3 linked regions of the Cricetulus griseus genome follow. The protein of the gene in region 2 purifies or fractionates together with the protein of the main gene of each other region. This does not show direct contact. Links are inferred from orthologs where the notes say so. Each region holds a gene or a part of one and is shown on either strand. Other genes may lie near its edges. The genes, in order: Chrac1, Smarca5 and Bptf.

The links.
Region 1: the proteins of Smarca5 (region 2) and Chrac1 fractionate together in Homo sapiens (co-fractionation; 5 studies listed by BioGRID and IntAct, with this or other methods). This does not show direct contact. The link is inferred for Cricetulus griseus from reciprocal best matches to the Homo sapiens genes SMARCA5 and CHRAC1.
Region 3: the proteins of Smarca5 (region 2) and Bptf purify together in Homo sapiens (affinity purification with mass spectrometry; 4 studies listed by BioGRID and IntAct, with this or other methods). This does not show direct contact. The link is inferred for Cricetulus griseus from reciprocal best matches to the Homo sapiens genes SMARCA5 and BPTF.

The regions. Positions count from the first base shown.
Region 1 is NC_048595.1:370,762,225-370,765,974, reverse strand, and holds the start of Chrac1 (chromatin accessibility complex protein 1), read right to left. Parts: upstream 2,757-3,750; 5' UTR 2,710-2,756; coding exon 2,563-2,709; intron 506-2,562; coding exon 379-505; intron 1-378. UniProt on the Homo sapiens protein: Forms a complex with DNA polymerase epsilon subunit POLE3 and binds naked DNA, which is then incorporated into chromatin, aided by the nucleosome remodeling activity of ISWI/SNF2H and ACF1.
Region 2 is NC_048596.1:156,507,874-156,511,523, forward strand, and holds part of Smarca5 (SWI/SNF-related matrix-associated actin-dependent regulator of chromatin subfamily A member 5), read right to left. Parts: intron 3,062-3,650; coding exon 2,987-3,061; intron 1,637-2,986; coding exon 1,470-1,636; intron 511-1,469; coding exon 410-510; intron 1-409. UniProt on the Homo sapiens protein: ATPase that possesses intrinsic ATP-dependent nucleosome-remodeling activity.
Region 3 is NC_048600.1:120,064,242-120,067,991, forward strand, and holds the start of Bptf (nucleosome-remodeling factor subunit BPTF), read right to left. Parts: upstream 2,202-3,750; 5' UTR 2,187-2,201; coding exon 2,108-2,186; intron 1-2,107. UniProt on the Homo sapiens protein: Regulatory subunit of the ATP-dependent NURF-1 and NURF-5 ISWI chromatin remodeling complexes, which form ordered nucleosome arrays on chromatin and facilitate access to DNA during DNA-templated processes such as DNA replication, transcription, and repair.

The sequences.
Region 1 (3,750 bases), on a different chromosome or scaffold from region 2:
TTGTGAACAACCCTGTCCAAGCTAGCTGAGGAAGGTTAGGCTTTCCAAACCCCTCCCTAGGCCAGACTGAAACTCTTTCTAGCCAAGGCCTGATCCATTTTTTAACCAGAATGTACATGTACCAGCTACTCTGTTGGGGTGCAGGGGGAACAGGACAAGTATACAGCTCTGAGTGAGTCTGCTAGCCAGCCATGCATCCTGTGTATATTGTCAACTTCTACAATTCTTCATGGGCTCAAATAGAGAAGGCTAGAACACTTCCCTGTGCCAGGTCCGGGTAAACTGAGGCATCACACAGAAAAATAAAGGAACAAAGAGCCGCTACAAGTTTTTTGTTTTGTTTTGTTTTTTAACCAGAATGTCCCAAAGATTAAGTACCTGAGAGAAACTGAAGGGTCTCTGAGTCCTCTGCAGTGCTGGCTAAGTCACTGTATGTCAGTGCTTTCTTGGTTTTGCCACTGCCGTGTCTGTAGGAACAGGTGGCTAGATACTGAACAAAGAGTTCCTAAACCAACAGTAAAACAAAACAAACAAACAAAAAAAAAAAAAACAGATGAAAGGTCAGGTTGGAAAACTCATCACAGATTTTGTAAGCTTAAAAGTCCATTAATACTTCTGATTGGTTCCTCAAATTATAAGACATCAGTTTATATGAGGAAGAAGCATGCCTGTGTAGAGCAGGAGGCAGCAGGCATTTTCCAGCTGAGCTTAGGTGTGTAACATGGAAAATATTTACAACGATTATAATGACTTTGGTTTCAGGGAAGAGCTGTGCTGCACACTTATCATACCAGCACTCCACAGGTGGAGGAAGCAAGAGGCACAGGAAACCAAGGGCAACTGTGGCTACATAGCAAGTTTGAGGCAAGTCTGAGCTACATGAGATGCTATCTGGAAACAGTGATGAAGTAGGGTGGAGTGTCACCAGCCTTTACAATAAATGGAACAATCATCTACAGTATCTAAATAAATAAATAAACACCTAAAAATGGAACAAAAAACTATTCAAAAATTCTATCTGGACTGCCAAGGACTTTACAGTTTACTGAGACAAGGTATTACTCTGTAATCCAGGCTACCCTTGAATTCCTGGAGATGCTCCTGCCTCAGTCTCCCAAGTGCCTGGATTACAGATGTGAGCTGCCATGTGTCTGTTTCTCCGAAACACATTTTCAGTGTACATGAGTCTCTTGTCCCAAGGTTGTTCACTCATAACTACAGTACTACAGTAAATACCAACCACCTCTGGCAAGATCCGAGGGGTCAGAAATATGGTAAATTGAACCTTTCCCAAGGTCCAGTATTAGTTCAGCTAATAAGTAATGAGAGACGTGTGTGTATAGTTCTTAGATCCTTAATGCTAGAATGAATCTGAACAGAAAACCTGAGTCCCAGGACCACACATAAACAATTATTTCCCCATGATCTTTAACCCCAGCACTCAGGAGGCAGTTTGAGACCAGTCTGGTCTACAAGAGTTAAGTTCCAGGACAGCTTCCACAGCCACAGAGAAACCCTGTCTCAAAACACACACACACACACACACACACACACACACACACACACACACACACACACGAAAGAAATAGGAATGTGTGCAGACTGCTTGTAAATAGTATATCACTATCAAAAAGGAGGACACTGGGAACTACTGTATTTTGTCAGACTCTACTACTTAATGTTGGCTCTGTTGCAAAGTCACAACATTCGCACCTCCCTTGGCCCTAGTGCGTAATATTGTAAAAGTACTAACATTGAAATAGACGAAGAAGCTGAAAACAACCTTAGAGGCAGTTTCCAAGGCCGCTTCTCCTAACAGGAAGGTTCCGGACCACCACTATCAAGACCAAACTTTAAACCAGGAACGGTGGTTAAGAATTTTTAAACCCAGCACTCAGAATGGTGAGGCCAAAACCAAGTGAGCAGGGCTTGGTGGCACCAGGGGCAAGTGGATCTCTTTCGAGTTTGAGGTAATCCCGGTCTACAGAGTGCCAGCATGGGGAAACATATAGAGACCCGTCTCAAAACACAAAATGAATAAAAACACAAAGCGATCTGTGTTGTTTTGGGAGGGGGGCTGTGTGGTTGGTTATAAACTTGTCCCTGGAATCCAACTTGTGACCAATTGTTGCCTGCATAGACCTGACGATCTGCAGAGGCCTGAAGGCTGGAGATCCCTAGATACCCAGACAGGATATACCCTGGAAGCTTCGAGACACCACCCCCTCCCGCGCGCATCACTCCGCGGGAGGCCAGCGACAGAAACCGAGGGCCGCACGCGCAGTGGAGACCCGCATCAACTCCCAGGGAATGACGCGGTGGGCAGGGCGCAAGGAACGCTGGGAGAGGAGTGAGCTCGCAGGGCGGAAGCAGCCCAGAGGACAAGCGGCGCGGGTGGGCGGGGCTGAGACCACGGGGAGGGGGGATACGGAGCGCGCAGGCGCAGGAGAAGAGGCTGGGGCGCGCGGCCCCCGCAGGGCAGCCGAAAGGCTGGGCGTGTGCGGAGCCCGAGGGGCGGTTAGTGCCCGCACCCGCCCTCACGTCGCCCCGCCGGCCGCTCACCGTGGCCTTGGCCGTGAGCACCAGCGCCTCCTGGTTGATGCTGGACACCTCAGGAGAGCTCTTCATGATGACTCGGATGCGGGACAGGGGCAGCGACACGAGCCGCTGTTCCCCGCACTTGTCCTTACCCACGGCCGCATCCGCCATCTTCTGTGTCCCGGCGGCCCGTGATGCCCCGCGCGTTCGCGCCTGCGCAGACGCCGTGTCGCGCGGTGGCCCGAAAGCTTGGGTGACGGCACCCAGGAAGATCCCCTCGGAAACGCCAACGCCGCGGCTGGCGACCGGAAGAAGCTCTTGCTTGCAGGCTTCCTAGTGCGTTCGGGAATCCCCGAGCTGCACCGACCCGTCCTGTCAAAAGCTAAAGAAAGAGAAATGTGTTATGACGCCTCGTTCTAGAGGTGGCCAGCAAGCAAGCATGTGCCACACTCGGGTAATCAGATGAACGGTGTGACCGGAAAAGAGAGAAAGAAGCAACGTTTGGCCAGGGAAGTAGGGAGGAGAAGCAGCCTCTGCCCTTGCCCTAGGGCCCATGGGGATTAGCCTGTTAAAGAGGCGGGTGAGATGGCCCTTGAGTCTCCTGTAATCCCACCACAAAGCCTAGAGGATCAGCAAGGGTTCAAGGCCAATCAAAGCACACAAGACCTAGCCGGGCGTTGGTGGCACACGCCTGTAATCCTAGCACTGGAGAAGCAAAGGCAGGCGGATCTCTGGTGAGTTCAAGGTCAGCCTGGTCTACAGAGCCAGTTCCAGGACAGCCAGGAAGACACAGAGAAACCCTGACTCGAAAAACAAAACAAAACAAAGCACACAAGATCTCGTTGAAGGAGATGAATCATATCTGAAGGAGTAGGAAGCAGATTAGGTAGAATGAAGACTGTTCAGAAACATACAAGCAAGTGGTGGTCCGTAGAGCAATAGCAGGAAGTCGGGGTCCAAAGGTGGAACCATGAGACCATGGACTTCCGCCAAGATGAGTTGTAAAGTTGGGAAAGTTGATGTGGCCTGAATAGGACAAAACTTGTAAATTGGCACCAAATTTAATTGGAGGAACTAAATTGCCAGGGATTTTTGTTTTTGTTTGTTTGGTTTGGTTTGGTTTTGGTTTTTCGAGACAGGGTTTCTCGGTGTTGCTTTGGAGGTTGTCCTGGAACTGGCTCTGTAGACTTCGAACTCACAGAGATCCTCCCG
Region 2 (3,650 bases):
AAAACACCAGCAAATTAATGTTTTCTTGATTTTTTTTTCCCCCACTCTTTTACAAAGTAGTTTTCTTGTTTGGGAAAAATAAGAGGCAAAATCACTCCATTTTACATGTACCTTAGAACCATAATAAATTAAATGGCATTTTCATATACTTCTGAAGTACAGCACATACTATCATCTCTCAGTTCTAGCTCTAGGGATCAAAGCCAAGGCTTTGTACTCTACAGCTATAACGCCAGTCAAGATATTAACATCTCAGATCAAAAACACCTAACTTATTCACAGCCTCTAACTATCCAGATTCCTAAGAATTCCCTTTGTAAATTATAGAAAAAGCAAATTCAAATGTCAAAGAAAGATGTCTCAAAGGAAGAGCCTTTGAAAACCAAATGATTCAATGAATTTAACATACATGAGGGAGAATCTTCAAACCGAGTACAGACATTAGTTGCTTTGGAGCTTTCTGTTAATAGCTCTTCATCCTCCTCTTGCTCTGTTCTACGGTGTCGGTAGCTGTCAAAATAAAAGAAAAATCAACTAATAATGACTCTTATGTCAACCCAGTAGACAAATGATGACATCACAACAATCTTAACAGTTAAGCCACCGCCACAGATGTAGCTCAATGGTGGAGCACTTATCTAATCTAAGTACAAGTCCTGGTTAGAGCCAGCGTACCCCAAACATTAAGAAAATAAATAAAATAAAAAGTTGAAAAGCAGAGTAAGCCGAAAACCACCCTTATTACCATGGCTGGTATTACAGACTTGCAATTCTAACTACTTAGAGTGCTGACAGAGAAGGACCTTAAGTCCATAAGTTCTATTTGAGGCCAACTCTGACAACTCAGTAAAAGCCTGTCTCAAAATTTCAAAAAGTGAAAAAAGATGGGTAGATTTTAAAAGTCAGTGATAAAATGCTCATCCAGCAAGCATGAGGCCCCCCCTTGGTTCAATCTCCAGTAGCAACACAAAAAAATTATATATCCTCAATGTACCTATTTTTTGGAAAACAAAAACATAAATCTGATTCAAGTTCAAGTTGGGACTATGTATTTCTATTTAACAGTAACTAACACACTTAGCCTCTGCAATTTTTACCTCTCTAAGAAACAGGTTAACATCTTAATTCCATGAACAACACCGCTGTTACAATTCATAGAGCACATACGGTATAAAAGTCATTGTATTTATTTTTGAGATACTTAAGACACTGCTGGCCATATCTGTGAAACTACAGAAGATAAATTAAAAACCTTAAAAAAATAGAATTTAAACCCGGTGATGGTAGCGCATGTCTTTAGGCCCAGCACTTGGGAGGCAGAGGCAGGCAGATCTGAGTTTGAGGCCAGCCTGGTCTACAGAGTGAGTTCCAGGAAAGCCAGAGCTACACAGAGAAACCCTGTCTCTACACCCTCCCAAAAGAATTTAGAAAACAAGTTTAGTTTAAACTATGAAATATAAACTACTCACTCGCCAACTGATAGCAAATTCTGTTTTTCATCTTTTTTTACCCGTGGGCGCCCTGGTTTCATCTTTAAAGGTGAGGTTGGAGTCTTCTGAGCAGCAGGCTGAATGAAATGTGCAAACAGCTCTGTCTGCTTTAATAAATACTCAAATCTATTTGCTCGGTCAGTTTGCTGCAAAATTTAAGACACATTTTATTAAGGTTTAGAAATCAATTTCCCCATGCCTGCATGACAAACTCAAGAATAAAAATGAACAAATAACTGAAATAAGCCAGAAAAGCCAGAAAAGCAACACAGGTGACTCTGGCTCTTGGAAGCATTTTATCAAGTTGGATATATGAATATATGAAGTACTAGTTAGTGACATAAAGATGAAACGAGATAATGGGTTGAGGGCAGAAATGATCGATAGAAAATACTCTACATCCTGCTTACAAAAATACTTAAATGAATTTATATATTTCCAAAATTTTACGTTTATTATCCTTTAATAAGATGGCAGGAACAAGACTTTCAAATTCAACATAAAAAACAAAACATTGTACAAGGGAATGCATTCAGAAGAAGAAAACACTGGTTACTCAACCTGATGCCAAATTTTAAATTGGTACCAGGTCTGTAATTCACTTATCAATAAATACTCTTCAACCGAATGTCATGTAATAATATTTCTTTCATATTTATTAGCTATCCCTTTGAATATATCCTGTTATCACATCAAGAGAATGAATTTATTAAGAAACTTGTTTCTTATAAAATCTTAGCCGGCATTGGCCAGCCTGGTCTCCAGAGCGAGTGCCAGGACAGGCTCCAAAGCTACACAGAGACACCCGGTCTCAGAAAAAAAAAGAGAAAATAACAAAGTCTCAAGTCCTTCAGTAACTGATACTTTAAAGACATGATAATTTACTTACACAAAGAGAAACAAGTTAGATTTGGTAGCACACACCTTTAATTTAATAAAACCAATTGTGATAATTATTTTTTCTTAAAAAGAGAACAGTCTCATGGGCTGGAGAGATGGCTCAGTGGTTAAGAGCACTGACTGTTCTTCCAGAGGTCCGGAGTTCAATTCCCAGCAACCATATGGTGGCTCACAACCATCTGCAATGAGATCTGGTGCCCTCTACTGGCCTGCAGGAATTCATACAAGCAGAACACTGTTTACATAATAAATAAATCTTTAAAAATTTGTTAAAAAAAAAAAAAGAGAGAGAGAATAGTCTCTCAGGGTAAAGATTTTCAGGGAATGATACATACATGTGAGACCAGCAACAATGAAATGAACTTTAGACACAGGACTACAATTGTATTTTTTAGTACAGTATTAGTATCAGATTCTAAACCATAGTGGGTAAAAGTGCCTTAAAGTTATGTTCATCTAAAAAAGAGTAACAAAGAATATTTTTTTAAGTTTTACAGCACAATTAGAGACACCTGATATGTAAACTAATAAATACTTACAAATCTTTTTTTTAAAAAAGTTTAATTATAAATGCTATTTACATTTATAGAACATACCATTTTTTCTTCATAAGTTGGATCTGGTTCTTGGATTTCTTTTTGCTTCCCAGGTGATGCATCATCAAATACTTCCTGGTAGGAAGAGAAATTGAATGATTTAAGAATTGTCAACTAAATAAAATGTTCTTACTCCAAAATCCCTAGGTATCTAAAGGCTATCACATAACCTGACATGAAACCTGAGAAGGATAAAATGGGGATAATCACTTTTGCCAATTATAAACTACTGGCATGATTAAAATATTATCAAATAATACCCTAAAGAACAATTACTTTCTATACAAGTCATATGGGAAAATAAGTACCTATTAAAAAATTATAAATGCAAATTACATAACATTAATGTGAACAAAGTTCCATTTTTATCATAAAATTTCATCTATGTAGTGTGCTATTACACAAATGTACACATGGAAGGCAGCATTAGTCACTAATTTACACTATCTAGAACACTGTCCAAAAAAGGAGCTTAAATTGAATATTCTCAGTCTGACTCCTAGTTCGTAATAAATATACTATTCTTAAAAATGCATTCGTCGGGCTGGAAAGATGGCTCAGCGGTTAAGAGCACTGACTGTTCTTCCAGAGGTCCTGAGTTCAATTCCCGGCAATCACATGGTGGCTCACAACCACCTTGAATGAGATCTGGTGCCCTCTGCTG
Region 3 (3,750 bases), on a different chromosome or scaffold from region 2:
ACAGTGCTGACTGTCCTAGAACTCAGAGATTCATAAACCTCTGCCTCCCAAGCACTGGGATTAAAGGCAGGTGCCACCACCATCCAGCTCATGCCCAGAATTATTAAAATAGGAAACACAACACCAGCCCGGTGTGAGGGTACATGCTGCCTTTAATCCCAGTACTCAGGAGGCAGAGGAAGGTGAAGCTCTATGAGTTCCAGTACAGCCTGGTCTAAATAGTGAGACAATTTCAATAACAACAATGACCATAATAATAGTAATAAAGCTCAATGACTTAATTCTTTAATTTTTATGACAGTCCCACTATTCTGTAGCCCAGGCTAGCCTGGAGCTATAGTCCATTTATGACTGGAATTATTGTAAGTGTAAGTCATTATACCTAATACAATGATTTAGTTCTGGTTGTTAAGGCTACAAAAAAATCTAAATCCAAAGCTTTCCACTCGATTCTCTTATCTTCCTATCCATCTACTTTTTTGCTTTTTTAAAATTCTTTTCTTTAATAATTTAATTTTCATGTAAATTGGTGTATTGCCTAATTGTATGCTTTATGAAGATGTCAGATCACCTGGAACTGGAGTTTACAGACAGTTGTGAGTGATCATGTGGCTGCTAGGAATTGATCCCAGGTCCTCTGGAAGAACAGTCAGTGTTCTTAACTGCTAAGCCATCTCTGCAGCCCTACTTTTTTTGTTTTTTTTTTTTTTTTTTTTTTTTCAAGACAAGGTTTCTCTGTGTACCTCTGGCTGTACTGGAACTGGTACTAAAGGTGTGCACCACCACTCCTGGCTTCCTATTCAATTCTAAACCAGAAGTAAAAGAAAAAAAAGAGTATAGTCAATTACCTAACTATAGGCAACTGTTTTTTTTTTTATAAATGCTTTGGTAACAATTTGACAAAATATAAATGAAAAAAAAATAGCCTCCTTCATATAAAGTGACCAGAATTAACTATAGGTAACTGGTCTTTTTTAATGTGTTGGTAAAAATTTGACAAAATAAAAAATTAACTACCTTCATATAAAGTGACCAGCACTAGGTAGGTGGGGCAGCAGATCTCATATTGAATCAGCTAGACACCTCACAACCAACAAAAAATTCCCAGTGTGCCCCCTTTGGACAGAAGTACTGTTTGCAAGGAGCTAGTGAAGTGCAGGCTCAGGACAGGCGGGGAAAGGAGGCAAAAGAACAGAAAGTTCCAGAACTGAAGAGGAAAAGGGGTCTTGGCTGGGAAAACAACAAAGGGCTGTAATTTTTAACCAACCAATTAAGTGCACACAAACCACACATTGCATCCACCCACCCACCCATCCACCCACCCATCCACCCATCCATCCCTCATCCATGAATCTACACACATGCACAGACAGACCATGGAATAGTAACTAGCAGGGCAGTGGTGGCCCACACTTTTAATCCCAGCACTTGGGAGGCAGAGGCAGGTGGATCTCAGTAAATTCAAGATCAGCCTGGTCTACAAAGTGAGTTCCAGGACAGCCAGGACTATTACACAGAGAAATCCTGTCTCAAAAACAAACAAACAAACAAACAAACAAACAAAGGAACAAGTTATTTCTAAACTGTTTCTATTACACTTAATTTCTGGTGTCTGTGGAGTGGTAAGTTTCTAATTTTCAAAAGTAACATTAATAAGATCGATTAAATTGATTCTTGTACAACTAAGTTTTATTCACCATGACAGTGAGTTGCTTGTAACTGCTCCCCAGCACCTTCCCTGGGTTTCTACCTGCAAACCAAAGTGGTACATGGTACTAGAGAAAAGGAAGCACCAAAGAATACAAACAGAAAAGACCCTCAATGTATGCATTGTAACCCCAACGTCCAAGTATCTGGAGAACAGATTTTTTCAGATAAGAACAGAGCCATTACTTTCTGTGAAAGAAAATCTGGTCACTGTTGGCCAGACAAGGCTGCAGGACGCACACAGTAAGAAGGCAGTTCCTCCATCCCAACACAGCAGGCGAAGATGACAAGTCGGAGGACAGAAATCCAAGTGTCAATGATGCCACAGTTCAGAACCACCAAGTAGTAAGATCAGGGCGAGTTAGTCTATTGTATCTTCAGCATGTGCCCAAGGACTTACCTGTGTCCTCGGATGTTAGCACATCAAAAGACTGACGTCTGGAGCAAGTTCCTCTGCTCCTCAGCTGCATACTGAACATGTCTGTTAGAAAGTCCCCTCAGGGACTGGAGAGATGGCTCAGCAGTTAACAACAATGGCTGCTCTTCCAGAGGACCTGGTTTCAATTCCTAGCAACCACATGGTGACTCACAACCATCTGTATCCCCAGTTCCAGGGGCTCCTACACCCTCTTCGGGACTCTGTGTGCACCAGGCACATGCATGGTGCACATACATAAACATTCATACACATAAAAAAAAACTCAAAAACTAAGAACGGAAGAAGCTATGGAGTCCCTAACTGTGAAGCTGGGGACAGGCTGCCAAGTCTGAGAAGCACAGTGTGCGCCCCAAGACTCACGTGGTGGGAACTCTCCCATATGATTTACACTACAGGTAGATATATCTAGATAGGAAATTAAAAATGTTCCCTTCAAGTCCCTGAAGCTCAAGTCTAGTCTATAGCACTCATCAATCGGAAGGGCAGTGCAAGAGAAAGGATTCTAGAAAGACTGACTCAGACAATTAACTTTTTTCACTTGCAAAATTCCTAGGAAGCAGGAATCCGCCACAAGATAACAAGAGCCTCAACTCTCCACCTACTAAAGGAGTGGACCTAGGGACAAAGAACTCTACCAGCAAGAGCATGGGGGCGGGATCTTCCTTCTCACAAAATGTTCTTTTCTCTTTCAAAATGGAGACTTGTAAAACCCTATTTTACCCAGAAGAGATTTAAATAAACCCTTCAGAGACGGTGTGGGACCCAGTCCCCTCCCCCACCCAGGAAAAAACAGATCATCCCAAACCACAGTTCAATTTACATTACGCCCGCTTTTGTCTCCCAGCTTTCCATAGATTCTGAATAGGGCACTGTGGGAAGCATATTAGATTCTTTATCCTCTTCCATGGCCAAAACCGTAAACAAATTCCCTTATTTTGTCCCTCAGAGTCTTTGGAATACAGGGTAACTGAGGCAGTAGATTTGTAGTTTAATTGCCTAAGTAACAAATACTCTGTTGGCTTTAGAAGTAAACCAAGAAAGCCTCAAGACTCCCTGAGGTCTAGCTAGAAGCACAAATTACGCTTATACACGTATCAAACCTCCCAGCCTTAACACTAAAGGCGCTCATAGGGATTGAGACAGGGTGTCTCTTGATGTAGCCCAGGCAATCCTGGAACTCAGAGACCCACCTGCCTCCGCCTCCTGAGCACTGGGATTAAAGGTGTGTGCCACCACTGCGGCTAGGTTCAATTTTTTTCAAAGGCGGCAACATGGCAAAAATCATGAAACTCTTTGCCTCTTGAATCTGTCCCACAGGTGGATAATCCCACACCCAACTGAGCACAAAACACTTCATTCAACAGAATTTATGATTTGTATTTTTTTTTTAGTTTCACTATTTATCAATAGTTCAGTCAATTATGAAGCATCGACATCCGTCAACGTGCTGAAAGAAACCAGCTAGCTGGAAATGATGCTCAGTGGTGGCTCATGTGCCTGGCAAAAGGCCCCAGATGCAAACTGCAGCACCACAAGAAAAAAAAAAAAGGATAAAAAATAACATCTTCTTTCCCTTTGTTGGTACTGGGGACAGAACCCAGGGC